Linked DNA regions of Macaca mulatta. The protein of the gene in region 7 interacts with the protein of the main gene of each other region in a biochemical or structural test. Links are inferred from orthologs where the notes say so. Each region holds a gene or a part of one and is shown on either strand. Other genes may lie near its edges. The genes, in order: SIPA1L1, FRMPD4, TANC1, PKP4, CTNND2, KCNA4 and DLG4.

Evidence for each region.
Region 1: the proteins of DLG4 (region 7) and SIPA1L1 form a complex in vitro, tested with the Homo sapiens proteins (2 studies listed by BioGRID and IntAct, with this or other methods). The link is inferred for Macaca mulatta from reciprocal best matches to the Homo sapiens genes DLG4 and SIPA1L1.
Region 2: the proteins of DLG4 (region 7) and FRMPD4 interact in a biophysical measurement, tested with the Homo sapiens proteins (2 studies listed by IntAct, with this or other methods). The link is inferred for Macaca mulatta from reciprocal best matches to the Homo sapiens genes DLG4 and FRMPD4.
Region 3: the proteins of DLG4 (region 7) and TANC1 interact in a test that uses a peptide from one of them, tested with the Homo sapiens proteins (2 studies listed by IntAct, with this or other methods). The link is inferred for Macaca mulatta from reciprocal best matches to the Homo sapiens genes DLG4 and TANC1.
Region 4: the proteins of DLG4 (region 7) and PKP4 interact in a test that uses a peptide from one of them, tested with the Homo sapiens proteins (2 studies listed by IntAct, with this or other methods). The link is inferred for Macaca mulatta from reciprocal best matches to the Homo sapiens genes DLG4 and PKP4.
Region 5: the proteins of DLG4 (region 7) and CTNND2 interact in a test that uses a peptide from one of them, tested with the Homo sapiens proteins (2 studies listed by IntAct, with this or other methods). The link is inferred for Macaca mulatta from reciprocal best matches to the Homo sapiens genes DLG4 and CTNND2.
Region 6: the proteins of DLG4 (region 7) and KCNA4 form a complex in vitro, tested with the Homo sapiens proteins (8 studies listed by BioGRID and IntAct, with this or other methods). The link is inferred for Macaca mulatta from reciprocal best matches to the Homo sapiens genes DLG4 and KCNA4.

What each region holds. Positions count from the first base shown.
Region 1 is NC_133412.1:144,854,760-144,858,259, reverse strand, and holds part of SIPA1L1 (signal-induced proliferation-associated 1-like protein 1), read right to left. Parts: intron 2,108-3,500; coding exon 2,045-2,107; intron 1,606-2,044; coding exon 1,487-1,605; intron 1-1,486.
Region 2 is NC_133426.1:12,330,068-12,333,567, forward strand, and holds part of FRMPD4 (FERM and PDZ domain-containing protein 4), read left to right. Parts: intron 1-2,040; coding exon 2,041-2,167; intron 2,168-3,500. UniProt on the Homo sapiens protein: Positive regulator of dendritic spine morphogenesis and density. Required for the maintenance of excitatory synaptic transmission. Binds phosphatidylinositol 4,5-bisphosphate.
Region 3 is NC_133417.1:63,990,937-63,994,436, forward strand, and holds part of TANC1 (protein TANC1), read left to right. Parts: intron 1-2,710; coding exon 2,711-2,833; intron 2,834-3,500. UniProt on the Homo sapiens protein: May be a scaffold component in the postsynaptic density.
Region 4 is NC_133417.1:63,540,984-63,544,483, reverse strand, and holds part of PKP4 (plakophilin-4), read right to left. Parts: intron 2,734-3,500; coding exon 2,605-2,733; intron 886-2,604; coding exon 812-885; intron 1-811. UniProt on the Homo sapiens protein: Plays a role as a regulator of Rho activity during cytokinesis. May play a role in junctional plaques.
Region 5 is NC_133411.1:13,057,473-13,061,751, forward strand, and holds the start of CTNND2 (catenin delta-2), read right to left. Parts: upstream 2,801-4,279; 5' UTR 2,207-2,800; coding exon 2,170-2,206; intron 1-2,169. UniProt on the Homo sapiens protein: Has a critical role in neuronal development, particularly in the formation and/or maintenance of dendritic spines and synapses. Involved in the regulation of Wnt signaling.
Region 6 is NC_133419.1:35,232,790-35,236,774, forward strand, and holds the start of KCNA4 (potassium voltage-gated channel subfamily A member 4), read left to right. Parts: upstream 1-1,185; 5' UTR 1,186-1,600; intron 1,601-3,985. UniProt on the Homo sapiens protein: Voltage-gated potassium channel that mediates transmembrane potassium transport in excitable membranes. Forms tetrameric potassium-selective channels through which potassium ions pass in accordance with their electrochemical gradient.
Region 7 is NC_133421.1:8,688,422-8,692,410, forward strand, and holds the start of DLG4 (disks large homolog 4), read right to left. Parts: upstream 2,801-3,989; 5' UTR 2,616-2,800; intron 2,591-2,615; exon of another isoform or gene 2,461-2,590; coding exon of another isoform or gene 2,449-2,460; intron 1,917-2,448; coding exon of another isoform or gene 1,863-1,916; intron 1,732-1,862; 5' UTR 1,729-1,731; coding exon of another isoform or gene 1,702-1,728; coding exon 1,672-1,701; intron 1,480-1,671; coding exon 1,355-1,479; intron 1,257-1,354; coding exon 1,087-1,256; intron 989-1,086; coding exon 852-988; intron 707-851; coding exon 562-706; intron 1-561. UniProt on the Homo sapiens protein: Postsynaptic scaffolding protein that plays a critical role in synaptogenesis and synaptic plasticity by providing a platform for the postsynaptic clustering of crucial synaptic proteins.

The DNA.
Region 1 (3,500 bases), on a different chromosome or scaffold from region 7:
TCAATCCCAGTTACTTTATTGGTGTTACTCTAGCTTTCCTCAATAACAACTTACTAAGTGCTGTAATAAAACCTTCATTTATTCTTAATAGGACAGAACTTCTTTAGCTCCAGACCTGTGCTGGGAAATCTGGTGACCCTTAGTCATGTGTGGCTACTGAGTACTTCTAACATGGCTGGTTTGAATTGAGATGTACCAAGAGTGTAAAGTATATAATACATTTCTACAGAAACATAATGGGAACTATGCATGTAATATTAAATTTTCTAGTAGCCAAATTTTAAAAAGTAGAAAAGAAACATGTGAAATTAATTTTAATAATATATTTTATCTAGCCCAACCTGTCCAAAATATTATTTTATCATGTAATCAGTATAAAAATTATTAATGAGGAGAAATTTATAGATCAGTTGGGATAATCTATCATTTACAAGTAGAATTGTGACAATATCACATTGTCACAACTTGTCTCAGTAAATATTTTCCTCATAGAAAGATTCTGCTCAGTAGGCTGGGTGCAGTGAGCTGAGTTCGCGCCACCGCACCCCAGCCTGGGCGACAGAGCGAGACTCCATCTCATAATAAAAAAAAAAAAAAAAAAAGAAAGATTTTCCTCAGCAAATCTTTTTCTTCAGAGCAAAGTGCAGGGCATGCTCACTCTCCCTTGTTTTTTTTGGCTCAATATTCATTTTTCTACAGCAAAACTTACATGCATCTCTCATTTAAAGTTCTCTGGGCATCTTCCATAGTGAACTAGTAAGCATGAAATACAGTATTTCCTCATTCTATAGAATGACGTGAATATAAACATACACATTCCAGTGAACAGACACACCAAGGAAATCAACCGCATGGGGAGGGCGTCCCATCCCATTAGCAGTATCAGGGAAGAAGAGTGAGGAAAAAAAAGAATAAGAGGGGGGTTGGAGAATGATAACCTCATATTCCCAATTTTACTGTAAGTGAGAAGGAAGTGTGTATTACTATAGCAAAAGGATGAAATGTGTATGGCTATGAAAGATAAGAGAAGCGGTAGAGGAGGCACAGGGGAAGCTGTCTGTCTCCTATTCCTCCTTTACTGCAGCAGAGTCAAAGATATGGTTGGAGCATCAGTCCTGCTGGAGTCCTCCCATGGCTGGAGCAGGACTGACACTCTAACCACATCTCATGCTTGCAATTGTGTAAGCAAAAAAAAATCCACTTCTAATACATTTCCATTCCTAACATTCCAGGATTGTTAGTGATTGAATCAGATGACCAGACCTGTGGGTGTGGCAGAAGCACAGCAATGAGGAATTACAATTTATCTCAAAGCAATCGAAAGGCCATAGCAGCAGAAACTGCAAGGCCATGGCAGCAAACGACCACCCTTTGCCAGAATGATTTCCTCTTTGGCCATGTAGAGAAAACAGCAGAGCATTTTCACAGTGCAAGGAAGGTACACTGCTAGTAATCTAATATTTTTTAAAGTTTACAGTTAACTTACATGCCCTTGTTTGTTTGGAGACAAATGAACCACTGGATCCTGCCGCATTAATCTCCCACTGGGGCTCTCTCGGAAAGCTGGCAGTACCTTTGATACTGCTGGGAGATGGCATGTTGGCTCTGGAATACAGCATAGGACATTATGGTGCAGGCACTAAGCAGAAACAAGCACATGGTGACAAATGAAGATGGCTTGCCATTGCATCTTTCAGTTCACTGACCAGCAAACTCTGCATTTCAGCAGTAAGCTTGTTAAGAGTCTATATGATAGACAGCAGGTCAGAAACTTAAGTGGCTGATGGATAAAGCTTGCAGCTGGTGACAACTTGTCACATCATACACATTAGCATAGCCAAGTACCACCAAACCAAAGGCCATGAACAACGCAGCAAAGTTCAGAATCAACTTTTGGTTTGGGGGGAAAAATTTGGATTATATGAATTAAATTTATGAAATTCATTCATTGCCAAGTGTGGCTAACCTAGCTTGGTCTACATTACCTAGACAGGCATGGATGCAATCACGTGTTACTTACCATGACACTTTGGAAATATTTTACCTGTATATTCATGCTGCTCGAGGACAAAAGAATTGAAATCCTGAGGTCCTCTATAACTGTAAGCTGAGCACAACAGAAAAGACACACAGCAACTAGTTTACTTAAAACAATTGCTTCCTTTGGGACTCCAAGCTGGCGTTCAAGATGGGGTTCCAAAAGTGAGAGATAAAGAACTTATCCTCCATAACACCACTACAGCTAATAGCAAGAATCCTGGGCCTCTGAAACACCCTTCCTAACACGTAGAGGACAGGGCAAAATACTCCTTGACTCTGACTCTCGACCATTTCCAAAAGCAGAGGCAGAAAAGCAAACAGCCATAAGGGTAAGTGAGCCAAGTCAGTAAGTTAAACTCCTGTCTCCACTGTCAGGAGGGTACCTGTTGATACAATACACTGATGCCTAACCAATAAGAACCTCGTAAACATTCTCAATCAGTGCAAGTCATTAGAGAATGCTGTTCTTATAAACTGAGTAGAGAAAGGTCAGCCCATTATATACTCAATATTGGGTACTGAGTAATAAAAATGCAACAATTATTTTTCTTGACTTCTCCCTGGAATGGCTTATACCAGCTAAGCCTTCTGATTCCGTCTGATGTGCCAGTTAGGAAAGGCTGGGTTATTTTTCTGGAATGCTGGGATATCAAAAATTATTTTTAAAATTATTTTAACATTTTATTTGAAGGGTTGGATTTTCAACGGTGAAAGGCCACCACTTGGACCTCTTGTACTGTGGTGAAAGGCTTCTTTGGCAGACTTCAGGGGTATCTTATTTTTAAAAAAGGTATACCTTATGAAAAAGATAAACAAATACGTTTTAAAAATTCACCTACATTCATTTTTAAGTCTTATCTATTAAGAGTGGGATGCCACTAAAGTAAAGTGGATGCAGGGAAAAAAAGAACAGAGGGAGGTTAGTGTGAGAGAATGAACAGGGGTCTAGGAAGAACCTTGTAATTACCCTTTCCATCCCTTCTCACACTGTGTGACTTCCCGAGTGTGGCAGGCATGACACTGCACGCCTCACAAAGGGCTTGCTGGCAGCCTTGTTCAAAGCCTGCACCAGGAGCCAAAAAAAGTTGCTAAAGTCATGCTGAAGAAGGGATCCTTTTCACATGTGTCATTACCATCTCAACGGTATCAAAACATATGGGATTTAAAACATTCTGTCAAGAGTAGAAAAGCAGATCAGAATATGCTCAGGTTTTCTGTGTGGGGGTGGGTGGGATAAGAGTAGAGAATGACAGATGGCTTCAATAACAAGGCACATCTCACTGAAGCTACTGGAACAAAGCATATCTTCAGAACCTAGGAACTCCATTTCTCTTCCTCAACCCCTGTCTTGGTGGAATACATCTCCACTCCTTGCCATGTCCATGGTTAGTACATTTACTCGGGCACAGTCATTAAAACAGGACAGAACAATGAATTTGCAGAGAAGATTAACAGATGGG
Region 2 (3,500 bases), on a different chromosome or scaffold from region 7:
AGATTAGTAGGATTTTAGCTTCATTTTACAGATGAGCAAACCGGGCACAGAATAACTTGCCCAAGTCAAATGGCTATTAACGGGGGGGCAGGGGGGATACAGGATTCAAACCCAGGCAGTGGGACTCCCCATTGTCCTATAGATTGTGTGATGGGTTGAGGCACCTGTGTTTGGAAACACATGTAATGCTAAAGCTTTGGACCTCACCCACACCCTGCTTGCAATCTCACCTCCAAAAGATGTATAAACTAATTAAAATCCCACTTTCCAAAGAAGCTTCTCATGGGCTGCCTAGAAAGCCTTTCTAAATTCCACAATGCCAGGTTGACCCACCAGGGGGCAAAATGGCTTTTCTCAATAAATTCATGAGCCTGTGTTGGGAAGGATTAAATCTCTAACTTGCTGACTTTAACACCACTGTTCTGACAACTCTCAGTCACCTGTTGACATGTAGGGAAAAATCCTCATGTGCAATTTGAGAACCTCAGGCCTTCAGTTCACTCCTTCCAAATGCTTTCTCTCTCTCCCCACACATAAGCATGACTGTATCCTGAGAAAGACTCGGCTCACAAAGAGATCTTGTGCTCAGCTGGACACATTCACACCCTCCTCCACTCTCCTTTCTAAAGTTCTTGGGGACAGGTGAAACTGGCTGCCATTTGAAAAGGTGGCCTGCACAACCTGAGATGATTTTCAGACAATTAAAATGCATTTATTTTCCTACTTTCTGTACCCACATTTTACCAGGTTGAACATTGTACAGTCAAAAACGTCTCAGAGATATCCGGCTTGAGTAAAAATCCTGAAAAGTCTATAATAATGTTCTCATTCATAAATTCCTTTGACCAACAAATATTCATTGAGCATTTTATATAGCACTCACATTAGGACAGTAGAAAATACTAATATGTATGAATTCTATTCCTGGCCATTGAGGAACTTGTGCTCTGATTGTAAAAACAAGATAAAAAGACAAGAAAAGTAATTATTTAAAACAATGATACAAGTAGGATTACAAGATAGCCCATAAGTAGTGCCAAATGATGGCTAAAGACAATAAGTACAAGTTGAGAAGGAAGAAAACATAATCATGAAATATACCATTCTTAACTAGTGAAGAATATGAATGGTCAAGTGGTGGAGGTAGGTTGTCTGCCTACCCTTCTTTGGAGAGGACCTGGAACAGGAGAAGTAACTGGAATCCTCTTGAAGGTCTTCACATAATTTAGAAGACACTGGTTAGACACATAACCTAGGGTAGGATTTCTATTCCAGGATAGATTTCCTAGAATTCAAAATATGGGACCTTCTAAGAAAGGAGTTGTAGTCATTTCTGGGGAAATTGGCTCTTTGTAAAAATGTATTAACTCAGCCCCATTTGTTGTCATTTTGTTGTACATCCATACCCATGAATGATGCCAGCATCTCCAGATCAATACCGGGCACACTTAAGAGTCATGAATCACACCCAATTCCACACCACCAGCAAGAAATGTTGATGGAAGGAGTTAGACATGAACTGGCTAGGACAAAAGAATTGTGTGTGCCTAGAGAAATAGCCATGGAGGAGGGGAGGGACAGGGAAGAATGGTTTGGGGACATGAAGGACTTGCATCCATTCTTCTAAGAGAAGAGAGAAAGAATGTGAGCAGACAGGGAGACTGGAGAATAGAAATCAACAAAGGGATGGAGAGAAATTGGTGTTGGAAATACAAACTCGGATACGTCAGTGACTTTGAAGAGATTCAGAAGTTGGTTGGACAAAATGTCTCTTCACTTTACATTGGCTCCAAATGCCTCCTTAGCATTGTCTCTATAGAGTGAGGAATAGATTTCTTTTTAAATGCAAACATACGTATTAATGATCAAGTAGTGTGTGTCCTGAGTGCAAACTAAAAGTTACTTCCTTAATTGGGGACTTGTCTCCATTCTCTGCCTTACCAAGGGTTCATTTGTTCCAACAAACATCAGAGCACCATTTTGTCTTAGATAACTCATCATCACAAGAATGTGAAATTAAAGATATGCTCTTTATTGCAGAAAAGAATGGGGATTAGAGACTTTTCTTCCCTCTGCTGTGCTGCAAAGCATGAAAGAGAAGAACATAAAGAAAGCACTTTCACACCTTGTCAAAGCAAATCAAAACTTGGTACCACCGGGTAAAAAGGTATCACATTTGCATCTTAATAGAAAATTATAAAGAAAGAGACTTGAATGCATTTTTTTAAATGTTTAAAATTAGCTCATGAATAAAATACTTAGTACCATATTTTCAGAAGCAGTAACACTGTGTAACTTTTTTCTAACTATTAACATATTTCTAACACTAATGAAAAATAAGTATTCATACAGAAACCTATTTATTTCTCACAAGTTATGGACTCCGTACTGTAGGGGGGAGGTGTGTGTTCATGTGCCCATCCAGGAAAAGTTTGCATAGCCTCTGAGAACTTGTGAATAGAAGATAGAATTGTGAAATAATTCTATGTTTCAATCATGCAATTGCTTACTGCTCAGACCAGCTTAAATGCACAACAGCCAGCAAGAGGCCCTGCAGGCCAGAGATCACATTCATTAAACCAGGGATCCTCAACTGTGGCATAATTGACATTTGAGAACAGATCATCCTTTGTTAGGGAGTTACGGGGAACATCCTGTGTATTGTGGGATATTTAGCAGCATCCCTGGTCTCTACCCACAAGATGCTGGTAGCACCCTCCCATGATCGTGACAAACAAAAATGTCTCCAGACATTGCCAAATGTGCTCCAGGGAACAAAATCACCCCTATTGACAAACATTGGATTCAAACCTACCTTTAGAGGGAAGATAAAATTATTGCTGTCATTCACCATCATTAGTGTTAAAATCTTTTTATGCTTTTGTTTTGTTTTCATTAAGTAAAAGAAACACAAAGGAAATTTTAAAATATACTGTTGGTCAGAAAAGAGAGGTATAGTTTATAGGTAATAAAAAGCAAAAGATTCTAGGAACCAGAAAGAGAAGGAGCCTTAAAATACTGGATCTATAAAATTGGACGCAGTCTTCTAACTGAAGAACACTTTCCAATTGATATTAGCTGGAGAAATTTGTGTGACTCTAATACAAATCACTGTTTACATGGAGAATTATTTTGTCTTAGTGTCTGATTTTTTTAAGTCGTTTTTACTGGGTAAGGCACATTTATTTCTATCCCCTCCACACCCCATGACGGTTTTTTTTGTTTGTTTTGTTTGTTTGTTTGTTTTTTAAGTATAATCAGGTTCACCACACTATCAGCCACCTTTAACTCACTTCTCAATTTCATGGGAAGGGTGTCTTTGATCACAGTTGAGCATTCAGCTTACAGAGATGTAGCAAGACAATGCGGGTCAAGTTCTTAACTTCAGTTCTGATTTGCTGGAAGCTGATTTCTCTAATTGACTTGTGATTTTTCTTCCAAGCCTGGCCCACTCATAATAATTTGGATAACTGCTATAAGATCAATCAATCTATCCATTT
Region 3 (3,500 bases), on a different chromosome or scaffold from region 7:
TTGCATGAAATTATTGCTTTACCTTTGGGGTTTTTGGGCCCTGAGTAGTGTTCAGGATTTTGAAAGCATTTATGGGTAAATACTGAATGTGAGTCTGACTTTTGCACAGGTAACATCTGAGAATCTTAGGCATGCCTGAGAGGGCAGAGTGGCCCACGTTTCCTGCTCAGAGGGTCGGGAGCACCTGGGCACATAGCTCAGCCACTGATATCTGCCTGCCTTATTCACTGGCACCTCTGTTGGTGGCTTCGAAAATGCCTCAGAAAGCCGAGATAGCTGGCAGGTGGTGGCTTATGGCCCTGCTGCAACTTTTAGCTCAGCTTAATCGTATTTGAAATTGAGAATTAGCCAAGAGCTGTGGAAGTGCTGAGGCTGCTCTGTTGCAGATTTTGGTGCCGAAGCTCTAGTGACTGGGAATCTGAAAACAGGCCTGTGAAATCTTACCATCTCCTGCATCTGTTTAGATACAATCTAGGGCATTTTTGCAATCCTTTATTTGGAATGTCTTTTGTGGTCACATATTTTTAATCCTTTCAGCTGTTATAAATTTATAAACTGTTATGTTCTAAGGAGTCAGGGGAAGAAGGGACATAGGCAACACGTTTGAAGCTCTAAAGCATCTTTGTATTCTCTAGGGCTGCAGCATTATGTCAGATGTTCATGACTGTTCTGGCTCTGAAATGAGTTATAGATTATGAATATGGCTGCCTGCCCCTTCTACCTGTGCTTTAGTGGGTGCATTTATCATGAGGCGTGTAAGGAGAAGGGTCCCAGGGCTCAGGCAGGAGCCTAGAAATGTTCCAAGCTGTGTTACTACAGGGAGGTAAGAAGGTTGGGGGAAGACAGTGTAGTCCTGTTGGCCCTCCGGGAGGTTTTATACACCCTGCTTACGAAGGACCTAGAGAGAAGCTAGAGGCTGCCCTTGGATTACTATACATTTGATCCATTTAAAAGCCCTGACAAGGAATTAGCCGAGGCTTTCTAATGGGAAAGATTTGTGTGGTAACTGGCAATGTGCACAGAGTATTCACCTAAATGTGTATACACTGTGGATATGCACCAGGAGGATACAGAGGCATCGGTGCATGCTGTCGTGAAGTCAAGGTTTCAGGTGTCTCTTGCTGGCTGGGAGGATGAGTAGGCAGGGCATGTGTTGGATTGCCCGCTGGAGGATGCAGTGAGAGGGGATATGCCAACACAGTCAGGCCTGGAGCCACCCAGGTAGCTGTTGAATGAAGGAGTGAGAGAGGATGATATAGACAGTGAGGAAGAGAAGGACTGAGATCTTAGTGGGGGGAAATAGGAAGGGTGCAGGTAGGATGGATGGCACTGGTCGGCAGCCGGATGCTGGGTCAGAGCCTGTTGGGCAGCCAGAGGGTTTTCCGAAGACAAGTGGCCCAACTTGACTTCTGTCCCCTGCACCTTGGTCCCACTGAAGATGTCCCCAGTCCTAAGAAGCCTTTACCCAGGCACTATGACTCCCTCTAGGCTCTCATTTGCCCTCAAGTCACTGTATATTTTCTTGTCCTGGAAGATAATAATCTGACTAAGATCAACAGTACTTCATGTTGGGCTTAACCCATAAACCAAATTAGGTTAATTTTAGATTTTCCTCAATGTAATAACAGGAGGGGTTTTTAAAAGGCAAAAACGTATACTATATACTTGCTTCTAAGATTTCTTGAGAATTAGCAAAATTATTTTGTGCTAGTTATTTTTGTAATCTAACTTGTATGAATGTTTGAATAGATCTTTAATTTTTTTTTTTTTTTTTTTTTTTTTTTTTTTTTTTTTTTGAGACAGAGTTTTGCTCTATCACCCAGGCTGGAGTGTAGTGGCACGATCCTGGCTCACTGCAACCTCTGCCTCCCGGGTTTAAGCAATTCTCCTGCCTTAGCCTCCCAAGTAGCTGGGATTACAGAGACCCGCCTCCATGCCCAGCTAATTTTTTGTGTGTTTTAGTAGAAATGGGGTTTCACCATGTTGGCCAGGCTGGTCTGGAACTCCTGACCTCAAATGATCCACCCGCCCTAGCCTCCCAAAGTCTTGTGATTACAGACATGAGCCACCGCACCTGGCTTTTTAACGCTTTATAACAAATACTTACATGATATGAGTCTTACGGATTTGGTCAGAGGTAAATGTAACTTATTTTTAGAATTAAAAAAATACACCTATAAAATGCAGTATGATATATAATGTTTATATAAGTCTACACATATTCGAAGCTTAGGAATATGATTGTTCTATTACTACTGAGCCAACTTTTAGAATTGTACACATAGAATCTGCCCATTTAATTAATAAGTTTGGCATTCCAAACAGCGGAAAGCTCCCCAGAGCTGCATAGAAGAATCTAGCAGCATGCCACCTGCTTGTGGTGTAAGTACTGAAGCTTTGCTGTGTGCCACATGATTGTCAGATTTCTTCATCAAACAATTTATGGTGAATTCTGTCTCTTTCCAAGAATAATGGAGAATTCTGGCAACTCAGTCAACATAACTTTAAGAAAAAGAAGCACTTGGTTTTTACCACTTTTCAATGGATACTGCCAGAAAAATAAACTGGGGCAAACAATACCAAAATGACGTTTAGGTAAATTTTGTTGAAAACCTGAACTGAATTGCTTAGTGATTTATAAATTATAGTCACTTAGGTATGAAATTTAAAGTCACCTTTGAAGATCCTAAACTTCAGTTTAATATTACAGCAACAAGCTCAACCAAACTGGAAGATCTGAGTTATTTAGACGGGCAGAGAAATGCTCCTCTACGGACGTCAATTAGATTACCGTGGCACAATACGGCCGGAGGTAGGGCACAGGAAGTTAAAGGTATTTATCCTCACATCCACTGCAATAATGGTTATGATGAACTCAATCAGTGACTTTGAAAGTCTGTGATAACCAGCATTGAAGCCAACTGTGTTTATAACATGATGGAAAGTGTGTGTGTTTGTGCTAAAAGCATATCTGTGAGGTGGGCTAAGAGGTCATCCTCAACGGTTTGGGGCTTCTTCCTTAAAATATGTGATTAACTTGCTTCTGGAATTGAAAAAATAATTCTGCAGTAAGTTATTTTGAAGTGAGGGGTAGTTGAACACTCATTAGGTGCTTATTATTAACAAAGTATAAGCTTTGTTTCAATTCTTGGACTAGGCTGGGCACGGTGGCTCATGCCTGTAATCCCAGCACTTTGAGAGGCCAAGGCGGGTGGATCACCTGAGGTCTGGAGTTCAAGACCAGCCTGGCCAACATGTTGAAACCTCGTCTCTATTAAAAATATAAAAATTAGCTGGGCATGGTGGCAGGTGCCTGTAATCACAGCTACTTGGGAGGCTGAGGTAGGAGAATCACTTGAACCCAAGAGGTGGAGGTTGTAGTGAGCTGAGATCATGCCATTGCACTCCAGCCTGTGCAACAAGAGTGAAACTGTTTCAAAAAAAAAAAAAGAAAAAGAAAAAGACAAAATCCCTTGGACTGTATTGGCGATGTTCTCTGT
Region 4 (3,500 bases), on a different chromosome or scaffold from region 7:
TCTGGTCTATTTTTCCTGACTAAAAAACTATGGCATAAATTATGAATAACTTGGAAAATTCGTTTTCTTCCATCTACAGAGAAAAGATGATGAGAAGGAGAGGTCTTAGAACACATCCTTATCTGAAGGACAGGATACAGTCTTGTTTTAGGAAACTCCAGCTGCTCTGTTATTGAAAGGGAAGAGGAGCGACCAGATGGTCCAGGTTCACCACGGCACCGGGAAGGACCTGAGACTGACTGCAGGCCCTTCATGAAAGCAAAGCCGGGATGTGTTATAACCGCCAGTCCCACTCTCCCACAGTGAGGTCCATTCCGGCAGGGGCTGAGTCCACTTTGACCACCGACACAAACAGACCTGGCCATGGACTCAGTGTTTTTAAATTGTGGAGCCTGGACAGAGAGGGGTGAGATGGAGAATGAGGTATACACAAAAGAGAACAAGGTGATGAGGGCATGAAGTGTGCTTACCAACCTTCCCTCACCCAGAGGCTGGAAGAGATTTTAAAGCTTAACAGAAAAAGAGTGGGAAAAGGACACCGCTGGGCAAAGGACATGAACTAAAGACTTCTTGGCTGTCCCCATCAGTGGCGTGGTGGTCTCAGCAGTACCGATGTGGATACTTAAGAACGTGAGGCTACCGTGGAAATGCTTTGCTTAAACCACGGGTGAGTTTCCAAGGAGTGAAGATCCCCAGGGAAAGCATCTAGGACCCTGCCGTGTTGGCCCAGCTCTGGGAAGTCAACCGACGTGGACCCCTTACTGTGTTAACTGCTAATCGGCCTTCTGTAAAAATGATATTGCAAATTCACCTGTAGCCGTCTATTTTGTTCTCTTGCTGGTGAGGAATAGGAACTGATGTAAATTGGTGAAGGTTTGCTGGAGCCTGTAAGAAAATATTTTATGAAATTAAAACTAGTGCTTATTACTCTGGTCCATTAGGCTGAGCGGTCTCCCCTGCACTAGGGCTAGTGCTGTCCCCGACAGGGCCTGCCTTCCCCAGTGCCAATGCAGGCTGGGAGAGGTAGCAGCTCAGGGTCTGGATCTGGCCTGGCTGCTGCTTAACTCAGGGCTGGGGGCGGCTAATAGCAAAACTATGGCAAAAACAGGCCGCGTGTGTTTCCCCAAAAAGCAATGCCAGTGCAGAGCCCATGCGCAAAGGTTCCTGCTCAAGCTCTGCTCATACGTGGGAGGGTTTCTCCGGCTGGCTTTGGACAGCAGCACAGGATCCTGAGCTGAGGAACACCCCTTTTCCAGGGCTCCGAGCTACAGCAGTGGGTCAGAGAGGAGAAGCGAAACACAGTATTTGAACAAGCCCCATGCCTTCCAAACAACTGGGATTCAAAATCTCAGGTCAAGGAAGGAGCAGCCGTTGGGCAACAATGGAGGCACAGTCTTGTGCCTGCTATATTTAAGTATGTTTTAATACAAAAGGAACTTGGTAATAATGAGATAATTGTCTTCAAAAGTCCATAGTAGACTCCTGATGATGTTACCCTTCCATTATTGTTAAGGCTAGCAAAGATTTTTATTTTTTTAATGAGGAAAATGAAACGTACTTGAGGCAAATTAGTTTATTGAAGCAAGCGAAGAAGATACAGAAGGGCATGCATGCTAAAGAGGCGATCTGTAAGATAAGGCAGGCTGCTGCAAGTCGGAAGCAACCATGCACTTCAGCTGGTATGTGCATTTCCTTTTGCACAGAGCTTGGTGCTGAAATGTAGCATCTGCAATTTTCTGAGCTATTAATTGCCATAGTAACAACAGTCGATTAGTAAATAGTCCTGTGAAATCACAATTTCAAAGACAACAGTACAACGGAGACTGCTCCCCCAGCAGGAGTAAAGCTGACACTAGCTTTTATTTATTTTTAATAGGTTTGAGAAAAGAGTACTTTTTGTGGGGTAGCTTACACTGACTTATTTGGAACATCTAAAGTAGTTATAATCTGCTGGACGGTTGAGAATGGGAAGAGTATGAAATCTTAGTAACCCTTTGGGCTGGTATCCTTTAAATAAATTGTATGCACAGCTTTCTGAACAGGATATAAAAATATTAACACTATGTAACATTATTTTTGTTATTCTTAAAAAATAATCACTTTGAGAAGAATCACATTATACCTTTTGCTATTTATTCAAACTCTTCTCCATGAAAATGTAAATGAAATTGATCTCCATTCTCTGGTTTGAAGTTAAGAGATGGGCCTGTCTAGAAGACGTAGCCCCTGCAAAGCGACACCGGGCTGAGGGTTCTGATGCATGTGGAAAACACAGAGACTGCTCAAGGCAGGAGGGGACGGAGCAAAGGGACTGTGCCAGTGAGCAGCCAGAAATGATTTATTTGGATACAGCCCTCTTTTTATTTGTGGCCACCGTACAGCTACATACATACATACATACATACATACAAGTACATGCTTGTTTTACTTTAAACAAGCAGAAAAGGCAACAATCCCCAAAGTAGGAAAGGGAATGACTGGAACATGGTTTGCTGCTGGGGGACCGTCTCAATACAAGCACAGGCTACTTCCCAGGCCACTGGCCGAGTGCCTGCAAATGCGGCTTTTCAAGAGACTGTATCACACACCCAACTGGCGTCTTACCAGGGTACAGGCCTTTATGTGTGGCATCCCCTTGGCTATTGTAATACTGCATAGGTGGCTGGGTCCTATCGTATTCAGAGCGAGGGTCTCTGATTCCTAACAGTGCTGGTGAGGAAGAGGTGCTGCCGACTGAAGGGAGAGGCAAAGGAGGAGAGAAAGAGGGGAAGAAAGAGAAATCAGCATCAGTATCTGTGGAAAATCCTCTCCAGAAACACAAAGGTCAGTAACTAGAAATGACACACAGCTGGTGCTGAAAATATCTCAGAGGTGCTGGGAGGTGAAGAGCAGCTAGACCCAAGTACCGCAAGTGCGACCTGCATGCAGGCCCGCCACTGCACAACTCAGCAAAGTCAGCATCGGGGCTCACTCTCAAGCTGGAGGGCAAGCCGCCCGGCTAAAGAGGCACAGTGTAGAGATCATGCAGGTTTCCCCACCAGTGTGTCTCAATGTTTTAACTAGGCCTTTGAAACTGAGTGAGTGATCATAACTTACTAGCCATGCAAGAGTTATACCTGTTATTTTATGATCTCAGTTCAGTTGCTTGCAAAATACCCACCTATTATCCTTTATGTATAGCTCTTCAGTCAACAGAAGTTTTATGGCATGTTTTGATTTCTAATTATTTAAAAAATATCCACATCTCTAAACGTGTTTGAATAAGAGCACCCAGTCTATAAAATTTATAATTCTTTTTATGGTTATCAAGGAAACAATTTAAACCCAGTAAGCCTGGGTCATCAGGAAACACACATGGTGCTAAGTCCTGACCTCAGAAAGGCCCAGAGGATTTTTTTAGCCCAGCTTCAGTCAACATCTAATAATACCGTATCTATCCTTAGGACTCTTTTTGGACACTCTGGCACAGAAGGAAGAGAGAAACATTTCACATACATTTT
Region 5 (4,279 bases), on a different chromosome or scaffold from region 7:
CAATTTTATTAGAGCAACAACCTCATGTACTTACTACAATTGCCATTCAATCAGGTAATATCATTTGCAATCCACAATATAACATAAAACCCACATATACAGTACATGTAGTTTTTCTCATGCCCATCGGCCGCTCTGGGTGCACACACAGGCAAAGAGCAATACTAACTAGTCCTTTAAGAATCATGTTTAAGACTGAAACACTAGGCTCAAAACGAAAAAAGAAAAGGAAATGAGAAATGTATGCTACTTCATCTACTGCTTCTTTTTTGAAAGAAATTTTATATTAAAACAATGCAACGGGCACAACGGTGTGTTCAAAGTGCTCTCGGAAAGTTCCCTGAATGTGAATAAGGTGAAACTAAGGCAATATTGCTAAAAACTAATCACAGTATTCAATTAACTTGAGCCATATAGACCTTGCCAGTCCTTCTGCAACACTGACTTGTGATGAGTATAATCAAAGGCCTCCCAAATTTCAACACTTAACTTGGAATGTAATCGTCTTCCTTCAAGCCCTGAGCCCTTGTAACCCACAGATCACTAACGATACCACTTAACATTTTCCCCCAACAACAGTAGGAACAGATTCTGCGTATGGCAACGATATGTTAATAAAAGACAGCTGAGGGCAGTTTAAAGCATCTAGTTCATATTTGAGGATACTCGCCCCTATATGTCACACTTCTCGTAGCACAAATCCCCAAAATAATGCACAGGTTCACCGCCATAACTTGATATGAGTCACAGCAAACACTTCTCCATGGGATTTTAGAAGTGGTGCAGCCCCGAAGCCCTGTCATTATGTAGGTGAACGACCAGCAGCTGAGACGAGCTGGACTCCCCTCGGTAGCTTCAGCCCCTGATGAAGTATGCACAATGAGATAACTCCCAGGGAGTTTCATCACCTCCCTATTTTCATGGAAGTCACTGCAGAAAATCCCAAGCCTCTTAAATATTGGTCACATAGTTCTTAAAAGTGAAAATTTACACCTGTCAGGCCTAATACTATGCTTATAACATTCTCTGTTTTCTAAATAAACGTATTTGCTTGAGCACAGTAAAAATACATCTTAATAACACCTTCCAGAGCTAAGGCGAACCACAGCAGCTCAAATGAGGCACACAAGAAAAGAAAAAAACACCTTGGAACCACAACCTGCCCCGCTCGCTCTCATCTCCCACACCCTTCATACCCCCACGGTTACAGCAAAATACAACTTTGGGCATTCTGGAAGTAACTGTTCTTTGTGACACATACACACACAAACACACACCCCAAAAATTCCCAAGTCTGTTTTCCTACCACACACACCAGGAAGGCTGCATCACCTTTCTAGTGACTTAATTCTGAACGTAGAGGCTCAAACCTGCCGAGTGGCAATCGAAGAAAACACATTACACACCAGAATAAGATGAGGGTCGGGAAAAAAGAAAAAAGCAGCTTCGCTTTCAGCCATTAATTACGGATCACCCCAATTTCGCATCGCTTATCTCCCATACACACGCACAGCCTTCCAAACCTGGCTTTCAGGCAGCGCTTTCCAGAGCCTGGCTGTCTATTGTCAGCAAGCAGAAGCCCCCGAAACCTGTGAAGCCGGCAGCAAAGGCTTGCTCGGAAGCCGCTAAATATAGACCAAGGGGGCTCTGGGTCTGGCAAGCCGCGGGAGCCTGAAGACATGGCCATGGACGCATATGACTAAGTCTTTCCATTTTGTTCTAGCCAAACATCGTAATGACATTGAACATAAGGGCAAAAGACTGGAGGGAAGTCCTCCCCACCCCCACCCCGTCTCCTCCCGTATATTAGGGACGTCATGAATGCACCGGGTATGTTCTCTGGGTGGCAGGGAGCAGCATTGTCGGTGTTGCCCTAAATACGCTTCCTCCCGGGGAGATGGGTGGCAGGGAGGGGGAGCACGCAGGGCAGCCACTTGGTAACAGCTCCAAGAAAGGCACTAACCCCAGACCCCCTTCCAGGCACAGCGGCTTCCGAGGGGGACCTGGCACGATAGCGGTCCTTCCCGAGGCAGGCAGGACCCCCGCAGCAGCCGCCGCCGCCCGCCCGCCGGCCGGGAGCCCAGGACCACCCCCACCGGCGGCAGGAGGAGGAGGACGGCGCCGGGAAGAGGCTCTGCCCGGCCCCGGCCGCCCAGCCCCGCAACTCACCCAACGGCGCGGCGCCCGGCGGCTTCCTCGCAAACATGCACCCGCCGCCGGCGACAGCTCCTCAGTCCGGGGAGAGGCGTACGCGGCGCCGCCCGGCTTCAGGGCAAGGTCCTGACCTTGCCCAACTGCAGCATCTTCCGCTTTTGTTGTCTGAGCGCGGCCGCGGGACAAGGGATGCTGGCGGGTGGCAGGGGCGAGCGCCGCGGGCGAGAGGCGGCTCCCGACGCTAGTGCGCGGCGCCCGGCCCGGCGGCCCCTCCGAGCGCGGCGAGCGCAGCGCCCCCTGCCCGGCTCCGCGGGCTCCGCGGGCTCCTGCGGGCTCCTTGGGACTCCGGGCGCCGCCGCCAGCCGGCCGGGCTGAGAGAGTAGCCGCCGCGCCCGCCGCTCCGCTCGGCCGGCTGTAGCTGCGGGCGCGAGCCTGGGGCCGCCGCGGCGCCAGGCGCCGAGCGCTCCCGAGCTGCGCCCCGCGCGCGGCCCGCGCCACCTGTGCCGCCGCCGCCGCCGAGGGCGAGGCTCCTCCCGCGGCGCGCGGCAGCCTCAGCCTCCACCTAAGCCTCGGCGGCCGGCCCGGGCGCCCGGCTAGTAAGGGAGCGTCCGCCCCGCCGCCGAAACCGGCCCCGGGTGCGGAGCATGCCCAGTGCCGCCGCGAGAGCGGCGCTTCGCCGCGCGCATTCCAGTTCTCCTGGTTTTCGCGGCAGCAGCGGCAGCCGCGGGAGAGAGGGGAGGAGGCCGCGGGTTGGGAGAGGGCCGAGCATCCTTGGGAACGCACGCCCTGGACCTGAGATGGTTGGATGCTCCGGAGCTAGGCGAAAGCTGGAAGGGACCTGGGAAGGGATGGAACCCCAGGTTAACACCGCTTTCCTCATTCACGTGCAAGGCGCTGACAGTTGACTCTGCTGGGGCAGATGTCAGCCTGTAACAAAGGGCCAGGGGTGCGAGGGGTCCTACAGTGGCTAGGTGGGTTGGGGAAGGGAGGCCGGCAGAAAGTGCTGCTGGGCGCAGGTGGATGCTCTTGCAGATCCTGTGATTGCAGAGCTAAAAAGGCACGACGTCCAGCAGAGAGGTCTTCTCCACAGCACCTGCCCAATCTTGCCATCACCTTCCCTGTTCAGATGGCATGTTTTTGGAGGGTAGTGAAAGTTTCTCCTTAGGCAAAATCACTTCAGATTTGAATCTGGAATGCCTGCAAACTTCCTGCAAGAAAGACCCTTGCTCAGTTTGAAACTTGAACAGATTAAGTTCTCTCTCCTCCCCCTCTTGTGCCACCTTGTCCTCCTCTCTTGGCCTCTTCTGCTGCACCTCTGCCACCTTCTCTTCCTCCTTTTCTTCCTTCTTTCCTGGGCAAAAGTGAACCACTCCCCTAATCCTTCCCCACAGTTTTCCAATGCATCTCGCATTGCCTTCTTCAAGTTCAGATCGGTTTTCCATATCACCTCCTGGCTTGACTGCTCCTTGACCCCATCGGGACTTCTTGCGTATCCTGCTGTGAAATACAGCAAGTAGAATCACCGTATTCAAAGTCTTGTTGAAAAACGAAACCCAAATCATGTGCCAAGGAAGACCTCTGGGCCTTCGACCCTGTCCCTCTGACTCAGGAGTCAGGAGGGGGCTCACTCGTGCTGCATTCACAAGCCAAGCCAAGCAGAGCACAGCCTGCCCAGGGGCCAGGGCGAATGTTCCTCCTAATTATGCCACAGGCATGACCCTGAACACCGCAGACTGTCTGAGGTTGCGATCTCCTCCACCCCACCCCTCCGCAGAGCTTGTTTCTGAAACGCAAATAAGCATGACAGAATGCAGGAAATTGTAATAAGAGGGATTTGGTGCTTATGATTCTCAGTGACATTGTGCTTCTATTTTGTGTTGGAAGAGATTATCCAACAAACTTAAATGATTTGAATATTCAAGTCTATTCTTTATTATACTTGGGAGTAAGTTGAAATATAAATGGAAGAGTAAAGGAGAAAAGTCATACAGAGGTTAAATAGGTAACAAATAATTGCTAGGAGGAGCAGATTAAGCATAGACTATTGACAACAATACAAATGTTCGCTTTTATTCCTGCTACCCCGGTGTGGACATGCACACACAGGCTTGGTCTCACCTGCAAA
Region 6 (3,985 bases), on a different chromosome or scaffold from region 7:
ACCTTTTCCTTAATTTAATGCAAACAATAACGCCCAGACGTGGAGATTTAAGATGCTAATGATACATACGTCCTATGAAGAAGCATGTTAAACCACTATGCATGCACCAGAAAAACTCCACCTCTACATGCCCTGCCTATAGTTCCCCTTATTTCCCCTTACGGCAGAGGCCCGTAAAAGAAACCCACACCCTGACTTCGAGGAACAGCCCACTTTTTTTTTTTTTTTTTTTTTTTTTTCTTGGTGTTAGCTCCCTTGTGCGCACAAGCTTTAATTAAAAGAAAGAAAGAAAAATCAAAAAACTTGTATTTTGCTGCGATCTCCCTTGATTTCTATCCCGAAGGATCCAAAGAGCCCTCAGGGAGTCGGTACCAGAGGCGTATTTCTTTTTGCAGCAACAGGTTGGCTGCGTGCTCTTCCCCCGCCTTCCAAAGCCCCCAGCCCCTGGCCCACCCCGCGACTTACTCATCTCTCCAACCCTCCTCCCCTAGGACTGCTGCCTCCCGCGCGCAGCCCCTAGCTTGGGCCTGATTCCAATTTCTGTAACATTCCCCTGCCCGGGGTTGAACACAGGTTGAAAGTCGGTCTCCTCCGCGCCCCGGAGGCCCAACCCCGGCGCTGAAGCCGCTCAACTACTGTGTACAAGGGAGGCGGAGACTGAGGGATCTGCACGCGCTGGCAGGCACAGGAGGGCTCCCCGCCAGCGGCCTCGCCGGAGATGCACCCGCTTCCCAACCCAACAAACCCGCTTTGGGAGGGGGTGGGGTGGGGAAAAGAAGACGGGGCTAGAGGGGAGATATAGAGAAAGCAAGTTAGGGAGAGGAGATGTCCCAAAGGACCCCATTTTCGGGACTGCACCTCCCATTGGAGCTCCCCGCTCCCAAGCCCTCTGGGGACTCCCGCGCTGCCGTCGAAACCCCTATTCCGGCCCCAACGGGGACACTTCTCCAGGATTTGCTCCTCGCCTCTGGGGACCAGAGCCAAAGACTCCTGGAATTGATCCCAGATCCTGGGAGTCGGGGGGCCCAGCCGGGGTGCGGGGAGTCGCGGCGTCGTGACTGCGCCCGCCCCGCCGCGCCAGGAGGCGCCCCTGGCGACCGTCGCGAACGCCACACCCTCGGCTCGGCCCTGGCCCCGCCCCCGCCCGGCGCGCGTTCGCGGCCAGGGGAGGCGTGTGCTGCTCCCGCAGCCAGCGAGAGCCAGAGAGGGATGGATGTTGGAGGAGGAATTCGGGCTTAACAAGTGATCGCTGCTGTCTAGGATTTTGTTTCTTTTCGGAGGAACCTTGACTTCCTTTCCCAGGCAATCCCTCCTGTGCTGAACTCCAGAGGAACCAGGAGCCTTGGGGTCTTCTCTGGGGCAGCCCCGACCCCCACCCCCAGACTCCAGCCGCGAGAACCCTGTGCACCCCCCGGGCCAGGCAACAGAACTTGTTCCGTGGATATTTGGACCCTCCACCTGCCAAACCCGAGTGATTCCTTTTACCACCCCCCTCACCCAAGATCATTCTTCCCCTCCTCCAGCTGTTGCAGCTTGAGGGGGAAAAACAAGCCAGCCGGTGGATTTTCTTTATTTTTATTTTTCGCCCCGCCGGGGAACGGTAAGTATGATACCTTTTTTTTTTTTTTTTTTTTTTTTTTTAAATATTTCCTCCACCTTCTTCTTTTGGCTGTTAAGAAACAGTGGACATTTGAGGGATAAATAATATCGGGAATGTGACAGAAGGGCATGAATGGAAGGCGGTTAAAAATAAACCAGGAGGTGGGAGAAGGGAGGTGCGGATGCTGCGCGGCGCTCCAGGGGGCCAACAGTTGTTATTTTCCCAACCCCGGGGATGCGGTGAGTGCGCCCTGCTTAACGTGCTGGAGCGGGAACCGAGGTCTGGAGGCGACGGCGCGATTAAAGATGTCGTTTCCCAACGAGAGGGGGGTTAAGATTTAGCATCGTTTCACCTCCTTCCAGCCGCACCGGTTAACAGCCGGTGAACGAGTCTGAATTGCTGCCTCTCCCAACGTTTGGATTTGCGTGCATTTTCCGAGCATTTGAGCAACATACATAGGGGCTGCATAAATGGCGTGCGTTGAAGTGTATATTTCTCACGGTATTGGCTTCTCTGATTCCCTCTCTCAATTTTTCTTCTCTCTCTCTCTCTCTCTCTCTCTCTCTCTCTCTATCTCTCTCTCTAAGGTTCGGGTACCACCCTGACACTGACACAGTTGCAGGAATTAGCACTGAGAGACGAACAGCCTTGTTGTTGGAGGGGTGAGAGGAGGAGGGGTGGGATGCTTGGCTGTTGTTTGGGGGCGCCGGGATTGGGGAATAGGTAGTCTGCAAAATCCTATTAGTTTAATGGTGTTAAAGAAGAAGACAAATTCCTCTGCAAAGATCTATATCATAAAGGCTCCTGGAAATTGGCTTGAATAGATTCTACTAACAAGAGTACCCTGAGAAAGAAGAGAGATTTTAAACCAGTCTGATTTGCTGGGAGGAATGATTTTTCTTTTCTCTTCTTTTTCTTTCTCTCTCCTTTTCTAGATCAGGGATAGTGAAATAACTAGTAGATGATTAAAAGGAAGGCAATTTGCTACTTGTAGGGTGGAGGAGGGAGTTAGATAAACAAAGACAAATAATCCCAAATAAATAAATAAATAAATGTGAAATTATTTGGTGTAGAGCAGAAAGAGGGCAGTTCTAGAACTCCCGAAGAGCTGATGGTGAATTAGAAGACTCTCTAATTTATGACCTTCTGGGAGTCAGTTGGGTGGGAGGGCAGGTGTGTGTAGTACTCAACTATACAGGAACTTGGGTTACACTGGGGCTTCATTGAAATTATAATTGTTTTGGGGGAGTTGGGGAAGAAACTGAGCAAACTCTCAGGCTATTTGGTCTGTACCAGTCTTGAAAGGATGTTGGCCTGACACTCCACGGTGAATGTCACCCCAGGATGGTTTTGTAAGTAGGGATTTAGTAACTCCTTGGGGGTAAACATTTCAGAGTATGAGATGATGTTAGGAGTAAGGCAAAGAAGGGAGATGGCATGTGAGAGGCCCTCAGTGGTGTATTTTCTGGAGTTTGTGTTGCAATCAAATGCCCTCCTTGCCCTAGGAAAATGTGTATGATTGGGAAGGGGTGTATGATTGGGAAGACCTCTGTTTGCCACTTCCATGCTTGTCACTTCATAAAATTTAGTGTGTTTAGGCTGCTAGGCTGACAGGATCAGCAAGGAGCAGCAGGTGGTCAAGAGCTGAATCCTGTTAATGGCTTCAGAAAGCCATTTCTCTTATGCTTTCCAAGTGCTTCCAGTAATAGAAGCTGGTAGATGCCCTGAATTCTGACTATCATCATTCTCTCCAGTTCTCTGGGTTACTCCCTGCATTCTTGGAAGTCCTGTTGAACAGAGTACATGGAAAAATCAAGAGGAGACGGGAGATTTGGATGGGGGCTTTTATAGGACCTGGCTGAGGAGATGAATTACCTGGATCTTGGGAGAGCAAACTAAGGAAGAAGAAGGGCCAGGAATAACAGGTGACAGAGGGAGCAGATTGGAACTGCAAGGGACATGCAATTCGGAAGTGGGAGATTGTAAATAAAAGTGGGCAGAGAGAGAGAGAGAGAGAGAGAGGACGAGGGATGTTAGGGATGTGGATTTTATTGAAGTGGGGGTAAGTATGATAGGCTAAGAATGAAGTTCACACAAACTGACATTTTAAAAAATAAGAGATAGCACCTTGAGCAGAGTGGAGGAGGAACCATTGAGGTGAACATGGAGCGACCGCCAAAGAGAGAAGATGGTTATTAGAGATGTGGAAACTGGCATTAGTTCCTAGCCTGTGGGTGGTAGAGAGTGTTCAGGATTCAGGGGAACAGAAAAACAATGGGGACATGCGGTAGGGAGCCAGGCAGTGCCAACTTAACGACGGCCACTGGTGAGTCTCAGGATGTACTGTATGTCCTCATGTCCCATCTTCCCCTACTTTAGTTAGTG
Region 7 (3,989 bases):
AGCAGAAGAATTATCTATTCCTTGAGAATTTCATAAAATTAGCCATAAAACCAAACAGGTTTTGTGCCTTCCATGGGAGAGATCATTGACGATCTTTTCTAGTTCTTTTATGGTAATTGATTTTCCATCTCTTCTCTGACAACAGCAAGGATCAGAGGTTGTGGCTATTTCTTTTTTTTTTTTTTTTTTTTTTTTTTTTTTTTTTTGAGACGGAGTCTGGCTCTGTCGCCCGGGCTGGAGTGCAGTGGCCGGATCTCAGCTCACTGCAAGCTCCGCCTCCCGGGTTTACGCCATTCTCCTGCCTCAGCCTCCCGAGTAACTGGGACTATAGGTGCCCGCCACCTCGCCCGGCTAGTTTTTTGTATTTTTTAGTAGAGACGGGGTTTCACCGTGTTAGCCAGGATGGTCTCGATCTCCTGACCTCGTGATCCGCCCGTCTCGGTTGTGGCTATTTCATTGGGAATATCTGAAGAGGGACAGCTACAGGGATGTCATGGGACTGCATGTCATGGGTTAAACGGGATGGGTCATGGGGAGCTTTGGCGTTTGAAGGGCTCTCACAGGTTGTGATGTCTGGGGGAGCATAGCTGTCACTCAGGTAGGCATTGCTGGGCTTGGCCACCTTTAGGTAGACAACATCATACGTGTTCTTCAGGGCTGCCACAGCATCTTCATGCATGACATCCTCTAGCCCCACACTGTTGACCTGGAGTCAAGGAAAGCAAAGCTCAGACAAAGCCACAAATGGCCCAAGACAGATGGACTGGGATGAAGTGATGAACTTGCGCCTGCCAGGGCTAGTAGGTGAGACCCAGATTTGGGCTAGAAAATGGACTAGATGGGGTCCTCACCGCCAGGATCTTGTCTCCAATCTGCAACCTCCCATCCTTGTGGGCAGCACCCCCTTCGATGATCTTTGTTACATAGATGCTATTATCTCCTGGGATGTGCTGGTTCCCTACGCCCCCTGCGATGCTGAAGCCAAGACCTGGATGGAGGGGAGGCCAGAGGTGGGTGCCCAGGTGCCCAGGAAGCAGGCTTGGGGGCACAGGACAGTTGGGATGGGGGAACAAAATGAGTTACTACCTTTAGGCCCCTTGATGAGCTTGATCTCCATGACCTTCTCAGCTGGGGGCTTCCGGCGCATGACATAGAGGCGAACGATGGAGCCTGCCTCTTTGAGGGCCTCCACCGCTGCCGAGTGGGTCACCTCGCGCACGTCCACTTCATTTACAAACAGGATGCTGTCGTTGACCCTGGGAGCAGCAAGGTGGGCCTGAGCCAAGAGCTTCCTGCTGCCCTGGCCCTCCCTCTCCAGGGACCAAGCATCCTAACCCCTGTATCCTCTCCTCACCTGAGGCGGCCATCCTGGGCCGCAGCCCCACCAGGAATGATCTTGGTGATGAAAATGGACGGGTCGTCACCGATGTGTGGGTTGTCAGTGCCACCTGCGATGCTGAAGCCCAGACCTGAGTTACCCTGGGCGAAGGAGGGGAAGAGGGTCAGCTCCCCTCACTGCCCAAGTCTGGCAAGGCAAGTGGGGTGGGAAATGTCTTGGAGCAGCCAGAGCAGGAAGGGATAGGGTGAGGGGCTGGCCACGCAGACCACATGGGCAGAAAGAAAGGTACAGATGGGGGGCCAAGGGGACTGCCAATGGAGGAGCCTGCTCACCCTTTCCAATGTGATTTCCTCGTATTCCATCTCCCCCTCGGTCCCGTTCACCTGCAACTCCAGCACGGGACAGAAACACAAAAGCAGTGAGACAGACATTCCTGCCTCACAACCTGCCCGTCATCTGCTTCCCTCCCTTACTCCCTCCTTCCTTCTGCAATGGCCCTAGCCCCAAAATCTAAACAACTCACATATCCTGGGGCTTCTAGGGTATCTGTGTTGACAATCACAGGGGGAGAATTGGCCTGTTTGGGGAAACAAGAGACAAAAAGCCACCTGAGCCTTGACTCGAGAGGGAGCCCGTAACGGAGGGTCCCATCAGCGTGGCTACCCTTTCAGCCTCTTAGCCAAGCCCACTCTGCCACGCTGAGAGCTGCTCAAGGGCCCAGTCTCACTCCACATCACACACACACGCACACGCGTGCACATGCGCACGCACACACACACGCACAGATGCACAAGCACATGGATCTAACTCTGCCCAGCCCGGGGCCCCCTGCATGTGGAAGGAGGTGTAGGAGAAGCGGGAAGGGAGACAGCCAGACGGAGAGGGGAGCAGCAGATGGCAAAGAGTGGGGAGAGGGGGGTAGGCTTGGGGGAAGGGAGCTTCTCACCGGATGTAACACCACAGGGTGTTACATGCCTTATGTGCTACACATGGACAACCCAGGGATCATGTCCACCGGGTCCTGGTACCCACTTCCTGCCCCATCCCCCCCCAATCCCCCCATAACTACCCGGATATTATCATAATCCTCCCCTAGACTTGTCCCTCACCTTCACACACATTTGCCCTAAACCCTGCACCCCGGGAATCCGGGGTTCCCCCAGCTGCAGACCCCTCCCTTGGTCTCACCAACCAGACGTCCAATCCACCCCTTCCTCTAGGGACCGTGTTGCCTAGCAACGGTATCTAGGACCAGCCAAGACCCGGGGAGACCCACCTCCAGGAGGCCCCGTCGTCAGGACAACAGGGGGGTGGGGCGTGGCCTGAGGCCGACCAAACTCCTGAGCGCAGAAGGTTTCCGCTAGCCCCGCCTCTTCTGCCCTGGGCCCCGCCCAGCGTTAGCCAGGCCGAGAGGAGGCCGGCCTGAAGAGGTTTGTGGGCGCAGCGCATTCTGAATAACCTGCCTTCCTCGCTCCCCTACGCCCCTCACCCTACGCAGTGCAAAGGACGTCAGGAAGGGGGAGTGGTGAAAGACATCCGGGTCCTATCCCGCTCATCTATTCCCTCCCCCAACTTCATTCGGGAAGGGGTTAAAGTGGGGCGTGCCCAGGTCCCTGACGTCAATCGCCTGGTCTCTAGACTCCCAGGCGGGGCCAGCTTTAGGCTGGTCCTAGGGGCTTCCCCAATTGCCAGGGCAACCGAAGCCACGTCTCTATGGCAATGGGGGGAGGCCGCCAAGAGCCTCCTTCCGGGGTCCCCAACCTACTTCCTCCTTAAAGAAACATGTATTTGCAGTAGCCCAAGCCCAAGGATTCCCCAGTCTCCTTCCCGCTCTCCCCGTCCAAAGGGGTCCCTCCCCTCTCCTAGTGCTATTTCCCAAGCCTACAAACTACCAACCATTTTCAAGCTGTATCACAGGTTTCACACCCATAAATCGATTAACACCACCCTCCAACCCTTCACATCTCAGCAAATGCTGTTGTCCAACCAACAGCCACTGACTGCCAAAATCTCATCCACGTGTTCATCCTCCATCCCATAGCCTATCCTCAATCCCCATCCCATCCCTATCCTGGAACCTCCTTCCCAGCACACCCACCTTCATCCACTACGACATTCATTTGCTTCCCATCCCTGTCTCTGCCCGCATCCCACACGCTCCATCTCCATCCCTGTCTCGCCCTTCAACATCCATCTTCCAACCCTAGCCTCCAGCCTCCATTCTCCATCCGCTTCCCTGGCCCTATCACACCCTCCAGCCCCATCCCTTACCAATGTCGTGGCCTCATCCTCCATCGCAATTTCTTTTTTTCTTTTTTTCCCGAGACAGAGTCTCGCTGCGTCACCCAGGCTGGAGCGCAGTGGTGTGATCATAGCTCACTGCTGCCTTGAACTCCTGGGCTCAAGCAGTCCTCCCACCTCAGCCTCCTGTGTAGCTACAGGCACATGCCACCGCACCCAGCTACTCCATCTCAATTTCTGATTCCCCAGAGAGTGTATCACCATTCTCCCTTACCCTGCCTTCATACCCTCAAGATTATTCTCAAGTAACAATCTTACACTTCTCAATCAACTCCCCCTCTCTTCTGAAAATTGGGGCTTCTCTTGTTCCCCAGGTGAGGCCTTGTCTTGAGACCTCCACCCCATGCTT